4 linked regions of the Callithrix jacchus genome follow. The protein of the gene in region 1 interacts with the protein of each later gene in a pairwise test. Links are inferred from orthologs where the notes say so. Each region holds a gene or a part of one and is shown in the gene's direction. Other genes may lie near its edges.

The links.
Region 2: the proteins of STK16 (region 1) and CCDC33 interact in a two-hybrid assay, tested with the Homo sapiens proteins (2 studies listed by BioGRID and IntAct). The two-hybrid records come from large-scale screens. The link is inferred for Callithrix jacchus from reciprocal best matches to the Homo sapiens genes STK16 and CCDC33.
Region 3: the proteins of STK16 (region 1) and RPIA interact in binary tests that used the Homo sapiens proteins (3 or more experiments, as listed by UniProt). The two-hybrid records come from large-scale screens. The link is inferred for Callithrix jacchus from reciprocal best matches to the Homo sapiens genes STK16 and RPIA.
Region 4: the proteins of STK16 (region 1) and KRTAP13-1 interact in a two-hybrid assay, tested with the Homo sapiens proteins (2 studies listed by BioGRID). The two-hybrid records come from large-scale screens. The link is inferred for Callithrix jacchus from reciprocal best matches to the Homo sapiens genes STK16 and KRTAP13-1.

What each region holds. Positions count from the first base shown.
Region 1 is NC_133507.1:140,988,147-140,992,099, forward strand, and holds the start of STK16 (serine/threonine-protein kinase 16), read left to right. Parts: upstream 1-1,151; 5' UTR 1,152-1,333; exon of another isoform or gene 1,334-1,559; 5' UTR 1,560-1,663; coding exon 1,664-1,749; intron 1,750-2,315; coding exon 2,316-2,535; intron 2,536-2,768; coding exon 2,769-2,902; intron 2,903-3,024; coding exon of another isoform or gene 3,025-3,068; coding exon 3,069-3,189; intron 3,190-3,294; coding exon of another isoform or gene 3,295-3,314; coding exon 3,315-3,410; intron 3,411-3,822; coding exon 3,823-3,944; intron 3,945-3,953. UniProt on the Homo sapiens protein: Membrane-associated protein kinase that phosphorylates on serine and threonine residues. In vitro substrates include DRG1, ENO1 and EIF4EBP1. Also autophosphorylates. May be involved in secretory vesicle trafficking or intracellular signaling.
Region 2 is NC_133509.1:21,056,812-21,060,849, forward strand, and holds the start of CCDC33 (coiled-coil domain-containing protein 33), read left to right. Parts: upstream 1-1,230; 5' UTR 1,231-1,274; coding exon 1,275-1,584; intron 1,585-2,539; coding exon 2,540-2,875; intron 2,876-4,038.
Region 3 is NC_133515.1:25,431,911-25,436,109, reverse strand, and holds the start of RPIA (ribose-5-phosphate isomerase), read left to right. Parts: upstream 1-1,391; 5' UTR 1,392-1,431; coding exon 1,432-1,716; intron 1,717-4,199. UniProt on the Homo sapiens protein: Catalyzes the reversible conversion of ribose-5-phosphate to ribulose 5-phosphate and participates in the first step of the non-oxidative branch of the pentose phosphate pathway.
Region 4 is NC_133522.1:36,448,766-36,451,566, forward strand, and holds KRTAP13-1 (keratin-associated protein 13-1), read left to right. Parts: upstream 1-1,428; 5' UTR 1,429-1,479; coding exon 1,480-1,998; 3' UTR 1,999-2,293; downstream 2,294-2,801. UniProt on the Homo sapiens protein: In the hair cortex, hair keratin intermediate filaments are embedded in an interfilamentous matrix, consisting of hair keratin-associated proteins (KRTAP), which are essential for the formation of a rigid and resistant hair shaft through their extensive disulfide bond cross-linking with abundant cysteine residues of hair keratins.

The sequences.
Region 1 (3,953 bases):
GGGCCCGGCACACAGCAGGTTAAATCTAGATGAATGAATGTCAGAACCAAAGAGCTAAAACATGTTCAGAACCAAGGGAAACCACTGGAAAATCTTCAGCGTGATCCGGGGTGTGGAAGGGGGCAACCAGGTCATAGAAGGACCTTTTTCCTGAGACCCCTGTTTCAGCAAAACAGCCATTCCCTCCTGGCCATTCCACCTTCATTGGAAGTGCACCCTTCTCCAGCTTACCCCTGCCTGCCTCGGCAACAGATGTCAAGGACAATTGCTTTGTGCCAAGGCTTGGAAATTTGTGAATTTCCGTTCCTTTTGCTTTTACAGTTTCAAGCATGGGATGTGAAGATCAGGGTAATAATAATTACTGTTGACACGTACTGAAGGCTATGTGTCAGATATTGTATTAAACACTGTATATCTCATCTAATCTTCAAACAAGTCCACGAGGTAGATAATATCATTTCCATTTCACAGAGGAGGAGAGGAAAGGACGGAAACATTAAGTAGCCTGTCCAAGGTCAGGCAACTATGTTAATAGAGCTGGCATTTCAACTAGTCAGTCCCGCCTCACGGTTAAGCTACTTAACCTTAGGTACTAATACCTTTTTTCAGGTACCAAAATTAATGATCCAAGAAGTTAAGAAACTTGCGCGAGTTTACACAGCTAGTATGCTATTAACATTCAATTTAGAAACTGAAAGTCTGGTTCACAAGCCTGAGCTCTGAATCACTGAGACTAAGGGTAGTGCGATACAGCCCAGAGCCCGGAAGTTGTACGGGATCAGCAATCCAGACCACCAGACCCGCCCCTCCCTGGATCCCCCTCCAGGCTGCAGTGTAGTCGGCGGCGTTCTGCCCCGGAGTGCCGGAGGTATGAAGCCTCCTACCTCCAACATTAGGAGATGGAGATCCTGGGGGCCTCGGGCCAAGCCCGGCTTTGTTCCCCTTTGGCGCAGGTGTCTGCGTCTTGACCCCTACTGAAGGCCAAGTAGAGAACCCTCACAAGAGTCCTGCGACCCGTCCCCCGCCAGGCCTAGCCCGCTCCGGGCCTCTCAGCTCGCCGCCCTCACATCCTCCGACTGCCTAGCGGTTGCTAAGATATCGCCGGCCGTTGCGCCGGTGCGGACTGATGATGTCAGCGCTGCTTCCGGTCCGTGGCGCTGCGCTCTGGCCGAGCCAGGTCAGTCGGGGAGTGCGGGCTGGCCCACCCCGGGCTCTGGGCTCCGAAGCCAGGGGTGGGCCCTGCCAGGAATGGGCTTGAGCCTCGCACGTCTTTTGAACTACCCTGTGCTCTGCCTTTGCGGCGCGACGGGCATGGGAGTGGGGCTGCCCAAAGGTGGGCTGGGGTTGGAGGAAGTGGCTGGGTAGCCGCTGTGTGTCTGTCCTGAGGCCGTAAGGCCCCTGACCCCACCCTTGGAGCTGGCGACGGAGCAGGGCCTGTTTTCCCTAGACAGTAGAGTAGTGTAGGTCCCAGAGACCTGGGCCTGAGCTCTCCGCATTGGGACTTCAGGAATCTTCTGGATTGTGCCGGACCTGCGACCCTGCCGTTGTTTTCTTTCCAGCATGATCCGCTGGGCTCCCAGCGCATCTCCTGGAAGAGCCCACTCATCTTGGACGAGCTCTTCGGTAGCCTCAGATCGTCCTTGAAGAGGATGACTGAGACATTATGGGCCACGCACTGTGTGTCTGCTCTCGGGGAACTGTCATCATTGACAATAAGCGCTACCTCTTCATCCAGAAACTGGGGGAGGGGTGAGTGTTTGGAAGTCAATTAACTAGTCCTGAAGGTTATGGTCATTGAAGGACAGCGGTCTGCACATGTTTGGGGCACAAGGGTTTTATCCCTATCCCTGTCCTCTCTCACCTGACAGCTCTTAGCTACACGGTATCGAGAAGGTGGATCCTGGAGCCAGGCCTGCTAAATCCACTTTGTGTGACTTTGATAAACCATGTTTTTTTCCATCTGCTTAATGGAGATGATTATCATGCCTCACTGATGGAGTTGTGAGGATTAAATGAGATAATATTATAAAATGTCTCACCCAGTGCTTGGTTCCTAAGTACTTGATAAGTGTTGGCTATTATTTACTTCTGTCAGGTGCAGAGATCTCTATTATGACCATAGGACCTCAAAGATTTCTATATCTCTGCTCCTGAGGAGCTCACAGTATAATATTCTTCAGATTTCACTTAGAGCCACATCTTGGGAGGGTTTCTGCTAAATGGGAAGAACACCCCACTCCCCACCAGGAAATTTCTCTAGGTCCAAGCCATGTTGGAGATGACCATGGCCCTTCATTGACCCCTTTGGCCCACAGTGGGTTCAGCTATGTGGACCTAGTGGAAGGGTTACATGATGGACACTTCTACGCCCTGAAGCGAATCCTGTGTCATGAGCAGCAGGACCGGGAGGAGGCCCAGCGAGAGGCCGACATGCATCACCTCTTCAATCACCCCAACATCCTTCACCTCGTGGCTTACTGTCTGAGGGAGCGGGGTGCTAAGCATGAGGCTTGGCTGCTGCTACCATTCTTCAAGGTCAGAAAGACTCTTGGTTATGGAGGGGGTTGCAACAGAGCCACGTACCCAAGGGCTGTGTGAGCAGTCCAGATGTTAGGAAGCAGGGACCACGTCCTGGGTGGCCGCTTTGGATTTGGGGTTTGAGGTGTGTGTCATGAAAGGCCTGATAGGCTTTGACACATGGAAGGGATCAGGCCTAGGGAGCAGAGGCTCCAAAAACATCTCCAACTTTAGGGAAACTTGTGTTGCAGAGAGGTACGCTGTGGAATGAGATAGAAAGGCTGAAGGACAAAGGCAATTTCCTGACCGAGGATCAAATCCTTCGGCTGCTGCTGGGGATCTGCAGAGGGCTTGAGGCCATTCATGCCAAGGGTTATGCCCACAGGTCAGTGGGAGGACCCTGTGTGCTTGCTGGGGCCCAGAGGAAGAGCCTCACTAAGAGAAATGGGAGGTCTCTGTTCTCTCAAGAAACAGCCTGCATGACTCTTTTGCTCACCGGGATTCCAGGCTTCCTGTCCAGAGATGTCCAGGTCATTTCTACTTCCCTACAGAGACCTGAAGCCCACCAATATATTGCTTGGAGACGAAGGGCAGCCAGTTTTAATGGACTTGGGTTCCATGAATCAAGCATGCATCCACGTGGAGGGCTCCCGCCAGGCCCTGACCCTGCAGGTAAAAGAGTCTCCATGCTCCTTTTCTCACCAGTTCCCCATTCCGCCCCTTCTGGTGCATGCCCCGGTTTGGTCACATGACCATGCCCTGTGCTCCACTTTTGAGCTCTGGGACCACTGTTCCAGGACTGGGCAGCCCAGCGGTGCACCATCTCCTACCGAGCCCCAGAACTCTTCTCTGTGCAGAGTCACTGTGTCATCGATGAGCGGACTGATGTCTGGGTGAGGAGCATGTAGGAGGGCATCTGGGTAGGGAGGGCTGTGGCTCTGTACCCACTGTGGAGTAGAGTAGGTTGTTGGTTTCTGTTGCATGGGGCCCCAGGAGCCACAATATGTCCCCATCCACTTCAACTTCCTTCCTGGGAACTGTTACTGATACTGTACCCAATTGCACCGGATGTGGTATAATCCCTGCCCCTGAACAGGGTGAATACAGCTCAGTGTCAGTACTGAAGGCACTGGCTAAGCAGCGGCTACAGAGGCCTCTGGCTGACTGGCAGTTTCTCTGGGCCCTGGCGGTACCATGTGGCTGAGGTCAGCATATTTTTAGCTTATATAGTGTCCTTTTACCACAGAAGGAGAGAGATGTCACCTCCATTGGTCCCCTTCTAGGTACTAACCAAGTTATACTCAGTCCCTAGGCTGCGTGCTATATGCCATGATGTTTGGGGAAGGCCCTTATGACATGGTGTTCCAGAAGGGTGACAGTGTGGCCCTTGCTGTGCAGAACCAACTCAGCATCCCACAAAGCCCCAGGTGAGCAAG
Region 2 (4,038 bases), on another chromosome or scaffold:
GCTGTGCCTCCCATTGTAAGTCTTAATTAAGAAGGTAAACAAGGCCAGGTGTGGTGGTTCATGCCTGTAATCCTAGCACTTTGGGAGACCAAGGTGGGTAGATCACTTGAAGTCAGGAGTTTGAGACCATCCTGGCCAACATGGTGAAATCCTGTCTCTACTAAAAATACAAAAATTAGCTGGGTGTGGTGGCACATGCCTGTAGTCTTAGCTACTTGGGAGGCTGACGCAGAATGGCTTGAACCTAGGAGGTGAGGTTGCAGTAACTGAGATCCTGCCATTGCACTCCAGCCTGGGCGACAGAGCGAGACTCTGCCTCGAAAAAAAAAAAAAGAAAAGAAGAGGAAAGTAAACTAAGGGCTTGTTCCCTGAAAATAGACACGGTCTCCCTTCCCTTGAGACTCCCTGCACCTCAAGTCAATGGGAATGAATAGGCACATAGAGATAGGCTCTCCCCGAATGGGAAGTTCTGGATATCACATATCCACATGCTCCCCATACCAGAATCTTCATCCTCGACCTGCTTTCAATTTTTCCATAGAATTTAGCATCTTTGTGCCAGGTATAGTAGCCAATGCCTATAATCCCAGCACTTTGCAAGGCTGAGGTGGGCAGCTCACCTGAGGTCAGGCATTCGAGACTAGCCTGGCCAACATGGCAAAACGCTGTTTCTACTAAAAATACAAAAAAAAATTAACTGGGTATGGTGGTAAACGCCTGTAATCCCAGCTACTCAGGAGGCTGAGGCAGGAGAATCGCTTGAACCAGGAGGTGGAGGTTGCAGTGAGGCGAGATCACCGCCATTGCACTCCAGCCTGCCTGAGAGATGAAAGCAACACTCCATCTCAAAAAAAAAAAAAAAAAAAAAATTAGCATCTTCTAGCATACATTATAATTTACTTATGTTCTATGTTTAGTGTTTATTTTTGTCTGTCTCTACACACCTCTCCCACTAGAAGATAAACTTCAGAGGGCTGGAGTTACTGTTTGGTTCACTGCTGGATTCCAAACGCCTAAAATAGTGTCTGGCACGCAGTAGGTGCTCAAGAAATATTTGTTGAAGGAACAAATGCTAAAGGGAAGGGATTGATGGAACAAAAGTTTCCTGGGTCAGGCCCAGGTTCCTGCCTTGTTACCTGGTTTCTCCTCAAACAAACAGAGGTGGGTGGGGAGTGGCCCTGAGCACGCAGCCTGCAGGCTTTCAGATTGGGTTCAGGCTGGGCCGTGGGTGAGAGGGCGCAGTGCTCAGCCTGGCAGTCGATCCCCCCGTGGCCATGGCATTCAGAGGGCCTGAACCCTGGGTCTCTACATCCCTGCTGAGCCGGAGACTGAAGGCAGAGGAGAAGACCCTGGATCTAGAGTTCGAAGTTTTGAGCGTGGGGTTTAATGAGGGGGGTAGATATGCCCTGAGACTGTCAGCTGAGAACCCCTTGCAGGCGGGCTCTGGGGCTGGGGTGCAGTTGCAAGTGAATGATGGGGATCCCCTCCATGCCTGCTCTGTTGTCACTGATGTCATTGAGCAGCAGGAACCTGGCCACAGTCTCACCCTCACCAGGAACAAGTTTATCTTTACTTTGCCCAAAGGTATGAAGTGGGGGTGGGGCTTGGGGGAGAGAAAGACCCTGGAACCCCTGCCTCAGCCCCACTCTGGGACCCCAGAGAGCCTGAGGAGAACTGGGAGGGGTGGGGCTCCAGACTGCATGCCAAAGCTCTGCTGGTGTGACCTTGGGCAAATTCTGGGCCTCTGTGACCCCTGCCTCCTTCAGTGTGGCCTGGGAACTGGACGCTGATGTCCATCACGCAAGGTCAGGTGAGAAGGAAATAGAAGCGCAGATGAGAGATGGCTTTGTAAATATAAGAGCTCTGATCATACGGTGGGTTTGGGGGCCAGTCCTCGGCAGTGGACATCACACTGAGTAACGTTAGACTCAGCCCCTTGAGTGCCTGGCCCTGATCCCCACTTGATTGTGGGCATGGGGGTGTGGACAGAAATGAGGGGACCCAGGGCCCAGGACACCTGGGCCCTGCCTTCTGGAACTTCCAAAGCAGGTGAAGGGACAGGAACTTCAAGCAGAGAGAAGTAACGTGAGCTGGAATGAGAAGGAGATCTATACCTAGACTGTGAGGTCACCCCAGCAGGCTGCCTGGAGGAGGAGGGATGTGGGGGAATGGGGAAACCAGGTCACAGACTTTAAGTGGCCATAAATCAGGGGCAGGCTGAACTCTTCCCAAGTCTAAGAGTCGAGGTTGGTAGCAGGACCTGGGATCATCCCACAGGCTAAGCCCTCCCTTCCTCACCTCTGCTGGGTGGGCTTGGATTGGGTATCAGCAAAGGGAGGGAGTCCAGGGAGGGTTTCTCTGCAAATGCTGGGGGCCTAGGAGGGAGTCGCCCACCAGGGAAATCTTAGCCAAGACTGCTTGGCTTCCACTCGAAGGCTGGGCAGCCCAGGTTTCCCCAGGGCCCTGCCTGTCCTCCTAGTCCCCCAGCAGATGCAGAGAAACCTGAGACCATCTCTGAGCCCCGTGTTCCCTCATCCAGGTTTCTGCAAGAATGATGGGCAGCATGACGCTCAGCTGCGCGTGGAGGCGCTGAGGCTGGACGAACCCTCAGGATGGACGACCCAGCGGGTGGGTGAGGCCATCTTCCCCATCTACCCGAGGCCGGACCAACCCCGCATGAACCCGGAGGCTCGGGACCATGAGGACCTGTACCGCTACTGTGGCAACCTGGCGCTGCTCCGGGCCAGCACGGACCCCACAGCCCGCCACTGTGGGGGCCTGGCCTACAGTGTGGCCTTCCACGTGCACCGGGACCTTCAGCCCCCAATCTCAGACAGCACTCTGGGGGCTGGCCAGCCAGAACGGATGTCACCATGCCCAGAGCCCCAGCTCCCCAAGCTGCAGGTGGGTGCTTCCCATGTCCTCGTTCAGATTTGGGCTCACTGGGCACAAGACCCAACCTCCCTGATAAGCCAGGCTAGCGCCTCTCCTGAGCTGAGCAGAGCAGCAGAGGAGCTCCCAAGGCTGCCACCTTCAGTCTGGGGAACATGCAGTCTGAGAATGGACACAGGAGTCCCAGTTTGAAGGGACAGACAGAAAATGGGCAAAGGCCACACAAATCAGGTAGCCAACTAAGTGGGGTTTCTTTTGCCCTGTGGGTTAGTGACCCCTGAGCCCCTTCAGTTCCCAACCTTGTTCTCACCAGATTTTGCGGAAGGCCCCAGGTAACCAGGGAACACAAATGTCTTCTGTGTGCCCATCCTCAAGCCCATCCAGCATCCACCCTGCCCAGGAGGGGCTTGGCTCCAACCCAGGACCCAGGTGAGAGGGTCTAGTCCTTATCCAAAATATAGGAGGCTTCTCCCCTATGGCCATGCTCTGTGACGAGAGAGTGTGTCTGGTAGGCTTCACGGCCAGCGCAGATAGCAGCTGGTAGAGCGAGTAGTCACCCATTTGACAGGTGGAGAAACAGGCCCAAGGTACGCTTGACTCCACTTAATGTCAACAGCATTTCCTGGAGACTTCAGTGCATAATAGTGCACAGGATCCAAAACTGATCAGCCCCTAAGCTCAGGGGGTCGCCTGGCTTGAAGACAGTTGGGTATAGTGAGGGCATCATCCATGGTCCTGTAGGGCATGGCTGGCTGGCAGGAGAGTTCTGGTGAGGGAGTGTGCATGTCGGATTTTGGTGCCTGGGAATGGCTTCTTGGAAGAGGGGTCGTTTGAGATGAATCTTCCCATTTATTCATTCATTTACTCTTTAATCCATTAATTCATCCATCAAACATTTGTTAAATGCCAACTTTGCCGACTGCATGCTACGAGGGTGAGATTTAGGGACAGCAATCCTGGGCTCTGGGGAGGGTGTTCCAGGAGGAGGGACCACAATGCACTAGGTAAGGAAAAGGGGGAGGTTCGGCTGGCAGCAGAGGATAAGCTGAGGTTGGAGCCTGCAGCTGACAAGCAGAGACGCCTGGCCCACCTGTGGAGTCTCTCTCCCTGGAGATGGGAGAAAGTGGAGGGGGTCGAGGGCACCAG
Region 3 (4,199 bases), on another chromosome or scaffold:
TTACACAAAGTTCGTGCTATATTGGTGATGTGGTGGGGTAATTAATAAATCCCCATCTAGGTGATTCTATTAGATCAGGGTTTGGTCCTAGAATCACCGAAGGTTTGTATCCCAGCTTTGCTTATAAGCAGTGTGACCTTGATTAAGTGAGGACTTCTTTTATGCCAATGGGAATAACAGTATCCACTTTTTTGGGGGGGGATGAAGTCTCACTGTGTCTCACCCAGGCTGAAGTGCAGTGGTGTGATCTCAGCTCACTGCAGCCTCCACCTCCCAGTTCAAGCAACTTTCCCGTCTCAGCCTCCTGAGTAGCTGGCCCTACAGGCATGTGCCACCACACCCAGCTAATTTCATATTTTTAGTAGAGATGGGGTTTCACCATGTTGGCCAGGCTGGTCTCAAACTCCTGACCTCAGGTGATCCACCTGCTATGGCCTCCCAAAGTGCTGAGATTCAAATATTCAAATGTTATCTCAAACAGCTTTTCCTCCTACAGACAAAGGTGAAGACTCAGGAGCTCCCGGCCTCAGGGGGCACAGCATAGTTAGAAAATCTAGGTGATAAGTGGCAGTAGCAGTGGCCCATACCAGGGACTTGCACACGTGAGTTCTGAAGGCCTGGAATGCATTTGAAGATGAGTTCATGAACAGACAGAAAGGATTCCACTAATAGCTGAGAAACACAAAGGTCACGTGTTTGTATGGGCCTCCAGGTGGTCGGTAAGGTTGGGGTCAGCATTAGTTTCTTCTTCTGTAAAATGGGGGCAGTTAAGAATTCCTCATCCCTTAATTATTCTCAACAGCAAGAAACCTTCAAAGGTAGAGAATAAAGAGAAATCTGTTTTCATAGAAAGTCCTTGTAATGGGTGGAGCAAGGTGCAGCTACCAGGTGCAGAAGACTGTCTACAGCAAGAAGTACTTCTCAACTTGTGACCTTGGGCCTGTGCTGGTCTAGATAAACCAGCTGGCGCCGGTGTCGCATGTGAGTTTCCTAGGGAGTAGTCACCTCCAAAGGGCCGTGTCGTCTACGGAAGAGTCACTACTCTGAGGTCTAGTCCATGGCCACATTCTCACTGCTGGGAGAAACAACAGGGTCAAGTCTAACAGTCCTTTCCCAGATGAAAAACATCCCTAACGGTGACATAAGCACACGTCCCTCGAGTAAGGAGCCATAAACGGATCTTCCCGCGTCTAAGCGTACTTTATAGAGCGACGCGCCAGAGGCCGTCGCCTGCAATTGCGCATCCGGTCACGGAGAGCATTATGGGATTGGTAGTCCAGACTGAGGCGCAGATGCGGGTCGCTGAAGCGATAGAACTACATTTCCCAGCAAGGCCCACGGAGCAGGGCACACAAACCGTGTACGTAAGTGACCAGACTTCCGGACGAGCCAGGGGCGGGACCTCAGCGGAGGCCTGAGCGAGGCGTCGGGATGCAGCGCCCCGGGCCCTTCAGCACCCTCTACGGGCGGGTCTTGGCCCCGCTGCCCGGGAGGGCCGGGGGCGCGGTCTCAGGCGGAGGAGGGAACAGCTGGGACCTCCCGGGTTCCCACGTGCGGCTGCCGGGGCGTGCACAGTCCGGGACCCGCGGCGGTGCTGGCAACACAAGCACCAGCTGCGGGGACTCTAACAGCGTCCGCCCGGCCCCCTCAACGATGTCCAAGGCCGAGGAGGCCAAGAAGCTGGCGGGTCGCGCGGCTGTGGAGAACCACGTGAGGGTGAGCTCCTCGGGGCGTGGGGCACATGTTCTCGGCGTGTTGGGCTCCTGTTGCGCCTTCTGGGTACTGCCGGGGCGCGCCTAGCTCCTGGCAGGGCGGGTGCTAAGTGAGAGGGTAGAGGGTGTGCACTTTACCGGAGTTTAGACCCCTCTTCCCTGCTCCTTAAAGACCTTTTAGAAGTAGAATCGGTTAGGGGCGAATCTTCTTATACTTGAGCTTTCTAAAGATTCCTTGTCCAGCTGGAGCAGTTTTCACAGGGGAGCCTGGTGGCGTCTGATGCTTGTAGTGGGGGCTAGAGGCACTTGCCTTGTGGCCTCCGTATCAACAAAAGGAATATGGTGGGCTTTGGGGCTGCGGAGCGGTTTTCATTTCTCTTTACGGACCCGGAAGCCAGCGGAGAGTTGGTTTGCTAGTACTTTGAAATTTGAGTTGAAGGAGGCTCTTGGCTTGGTGCGCACCGGCCCCTGACTGTACTCCTGGAGGGAAGGGAAGACCCGGGGCTTCATACCTTTTTCTTTCCATAGGGCGGGGTGGACTAAGTCTGGAGGATGCTGTTTTGTTTTTGTTTTTTTTTTAAAGCCGGGCTGCGGAGATGTTTAGCTGTTATTTATTCAGGCCGTGGCCCCTACTTGTTTGTTAAATGGTGGATATGGTGCTATTAGTGGAGTTTTTATAATCCAAGTGGTTTTGCTGTCACCAATCAAGTTAGTTATGTTAATTATAATAAGGAAACCTAGTGGAGTATGTCTGCCCTGTGGTGTAGTTTCCTTGGTCTTACTGTCTTTTTATCTCCCATTTCTACTTATTAGAAAGTGGTATTAGATTTCCCCTTTCTTTTCTGATGATAGTTCTTTACATCTGTTAATGCTTTGCTCTACATAATTAATTTGCTTAGATGATGTTGTATGAGCTTCACCACAGCCTGTTTGAGTGGGAGTGGCCAGTGTGGTAACCTGTGGCTCAGCCAGTTCTGTAGAAGGGATGTACCAGTGTGCCCTTCTACCGTTTCCACTCCTGCCCTGTTCTGGTGTAGCTTGTTGCAAGTCTGGTTGGCAATAGGATTTTCTATGGGGATTAACAGAGATAATGTAAAATGTATTAATTTGACCCTACCTTTGGGATTCAGTGCCTCAGTTGTAAAGTTGAGACAATTAGCTGAAAATTCAAAATATCTGCATAAAGTGAATAGCTAACGGACAAATGAAATCCACATGAGAATACAATTAGAAAAGCCCAATATCCAAGTTTTCCTGTTAACGAATTTACATTAATATTTGGTGGCACATCTCCCTGACACTTGTATTATAGTTATGTATTTGGTTAAATAAAAATCTGCAAGCCCTAACCTTAGGCTAGAGCCCCAAAACACTGGATTCTGACCGCATCATTTCATGAAGTTAGCAGGTGATTTTGGGGAGATCTACATTGGCCTTTCGGGGGCACCTGTTAAAATCATGTATGCCTTTCAGGGTTTGGCTTAAAGGCCATTTCCTCCTTTCAGTTTTGCCTTAGCATTCTAAGGAGAGGGAGATTTCTTCTCTGTGATTCTGTAGCACTTCATGCCACTTGCATGCTTTATGTTGTATTTTATGTTCTCATCATCTGTGTGTTCATTTCTTCCAGCGCCTTAAAGGGTAAGCTCCTGGAGGGTAGTTAACCTTCATTTAGCATTGGTCACAGTGGGGACTGCCCAGTAAATGTTTGTTCAGTTGTGTGCAGTGTGGACACAAATATGAAAGTATTGGGGTTATTGGAGGCTCTTTGTATAGAATTTCTGGGGAGTAGCACTTCCTGTTCCCTAGTCCATTGTTGTTCCAATATGGTAACAACTTCCATGTCTGGGTGGATGGAAGACTGAGAGTTCTCAGGTGAATCGTTTGTATAGCCACCCTGGACCCAGCTCTGTCTGTTTCTGGGGGTGTAGCCATCTAGGATGGGTCGCTTTGCAGATCTACTTTCTTCTGAACATCTGTAGCCTCATCCCTTTGTTCTCTTTGGAGCTTGGGCTTTGTTTTTTGACTGGCTTGGTTGAGGAAGCTGATGGACAATGATTCTAGTTGGTTAGCAGTAGTATGTATTTCCAAAGTTACTCCATTCGACAAGCTGAGTGAAGTTCTGATGTTGCACATACATGTGGTTTAATATTGCCCATTAGAATGGGGCCACTCCTCCAGCAGGGCCTGGTTGGTAGTCTTCTGCTGTTGGGCTGCATCATAGGCAGTCTTTGGTCACCTCTGGTTGGCTTTGGCAAGGGCACTGATTCCTAGGCCAGTCATTTGATTCCAAGGCCTCAGCGATTACGTGGTTGAAGAGCTTTAGGCTTGGCAGGCCCTTGCAATTACTGGTCTCTTCCAAAAGGCAAAGAAGGAGCCTTGTACAGAGCTTGTCTGATTCATCCAAGTTCGTCTCTCTGCTACCTGCCTTCTGGGGACTGTGAGTGACATGAATGTATGGATAAGCTTGGTAACCAGGAGTTTGGTGAT
Region 4 (2,801 bases), on another chromosome or scaffold:
ACAGACACAGGTGGGAGGTAAACCAGGGACATCTGGATGAGAGGCGCACAATCTCAGGCTTGAAGCACTGCTGAAAAGAAATGACAGAAGATGTTACAGCTGTGGCACTGCTCACAAGAAATGGCAATGTAAAAAAAAAACACTTTTCTGTGTCATTAAAAAGTAATTCAAGTAGTTTTGATATACTATTTCTAAAACACACTGAATTTTACTTCCATTTGTTCTGCAGAAAATCATGTTGAAAAAATCATTGTCCTATGTGGAGATGATCCAAGAGGATGCAGCCAAAAAATATAGGAAAAGGTTATAGATGATGATGATAATGGTATATTATTGTCTTGATTTTGTGATGTCTTGAGTTTTGTTAACTTTGGAAGTGTTTATTCTATATTAATATCTGTGTTTATATCTATTATTATATTCATAATATGGTATTTTTAATGAGGATCCCCAAATTATATTTTTCCACACCCACACAACCTAAATCCATCTCTTTAAAGAGGGCTGGGACAGAGTCACGTCCCACAAGAAGAGGGAAAAACATAAAAGCTGGTGGCATTATTCTGGAAATACTCAGAAAGCATTCAGAATACTGAGGTGGGGGTTTTGAGGTGTTATAAGCATGCAGGCTCCAGGACACTTACAAATATGAATGCATCATACAAAAGCTATTAAATACGTCTATTTGAAAGCATTTTGATTTGCTTTCAGGATGGACTACCCATCAGTTAGCTGGAACCCTGGCAGTCCTGATCATCCTTCTGCTACTGTGCTTTATTTCCTACCTTATCTTAGCAGTGAGGTGAGGTTTGCTTTTTCCACATTTGTCCATATTGATGTTTTTCATTTTTTTTGGCTTTTGTTTTGATTTCTTTTTTCTAAACACTAATTTTTTTTTCTAAACGTGTTCAAGATGATATCTGGTTTTAGTTATCTCTCAATCCCTCTGGATTACTTTTACATAGTCCTTGAGACAGCAATGATAAACATTGCTTATAGTAAATAATAGACGGCAAACTATTTTGGAGAGTGTGAACCAATAAAATTTCTGCTGCTAGGCCACTGACAAAAAATATGAGTACATTGCCATCCCCATCCAAGACAGAAAGAATTTCCCAGCCAAAACAGGAGCAAGTGTGTAAATCATGGCCAGAGAAAATAAGAGGGGTCTTCCTGGCCATAATGGAGTGGACATTAATCACATACAGTCATAGCATTTGTAACATAAATGTATTTCATTGACGCAGAGCTGTAAAAACAAAATGAGTTCTTCCATAAATATAAGATGAAGCGTGTTAACTGCAATTACAAAGATTACTAAGTTACTTATATGCAAATGTGGGAGCTCAAACACGTGAAGGATGACCCTGTCAGGTGCCACACCCACAGTTGAAAGTATATAAATGGTCCCTTCCAGGAGTGGCATCCAAACTCAGATCTTCTCAGTGTAACTCAGCTGAACTCACATCTCCCGTCAACATGTCCTACAACTGCTGCTCTGGAAACTTCTCCTCCCGCTCCTGTGGGGGCTACATGCGCTACCCAGGCTCCTCCTGTGGCTCTTCCTACCCCAGCAACCTGGTCTACAGCACTGACCTCTGCTCTCCCAGCACCTGCCAGCTGGGTTCCTCTCTCTACGGGGGCTGTCAGGAGCCCTGCTGCGAGCCCACCAGCTACCAGACATCCTGTGTGGAGTCCAGCCCCTGCCAGACCTCCTGCTACCGCCCGAGAACCTCTGTGCTCTTCAATCCCTGCCAGACGACTTACTCTGGGCCTCTAGGCTTTGGCTCCAGCAGCTGCCGCCCCCTGGGCTATGGATCTAGGAGCTGCTACTCAGTGGGCTGCGGATCCAGTGGCTTCAGATCCCTGGGTTATGGAGGCTGCGGCTTCCCTTCCCTGGGCTATGGATCTGGATTCTGCCGCCCAACCTACTTGGCTTCTAGGAGCTGCCAGTCTTCTTGTTACAGACCAACTTGTGGATCAGGCTTCTATTATTGATCATCTTGTTAAACTGCTAATTTTATTGGCCGATGCCATTAATGTCTCTACTCATAACCTTTATTGTCTTCATCTTGTACAGAAAGAATTAGCCTCTTATTCTCTAATTATCAAGTTCTCAATTTGTCTTTGGCCCCAGATACTGACTGGCAGGCTTCATCTGAAAACCTGTGTACTAACCCAAAATAATCTTGAAGTACACATTAAAGTTAGAATTTATATTATTTTATTTTTTCCACAATTGTGGAAAAAGTCAAATCATTTTAACGAAATAAATCTACTGGTCTGATATTCAGCTATGTTTGTGGTGGTTTTTTATTGCCAAGTTTTGGTTGTGACATATTTAGGGGATTATTATGAAACAACTGGTATATATATAGGAATAGGTTTGAAAACCATATGAAGTTTGGGATTCAAACAAACTTTTGGGGGTTCAGAGATTTTTGTTACTCAGACTACAGGTAGTAGATGTCTACTAAATACACAGGCTTTTGTTCATTAAAATCTCAGACTCGGGAATTAGCTTGGTTCCCTTATGAAATGTTGATTCTTGTGACAAGGCCAATAAGAATAAGGTAGAAAACTAGCTGACAGTTATATCAGGAATCTTCAGGGAACAAAAATAAAACTTAGATCTATATGGTTATAGACATACATACAAGCAAAATTGAATTGAAGACAAATCAAAATGATTTCAAGTAACTTTTTTAAAGTCACCCAGTATTTGTTGGCAATCACGATCAAATGTCTGTATCTTATTGATGAGAATTCAATATGATCCAATTATCTACACATGTGTAATA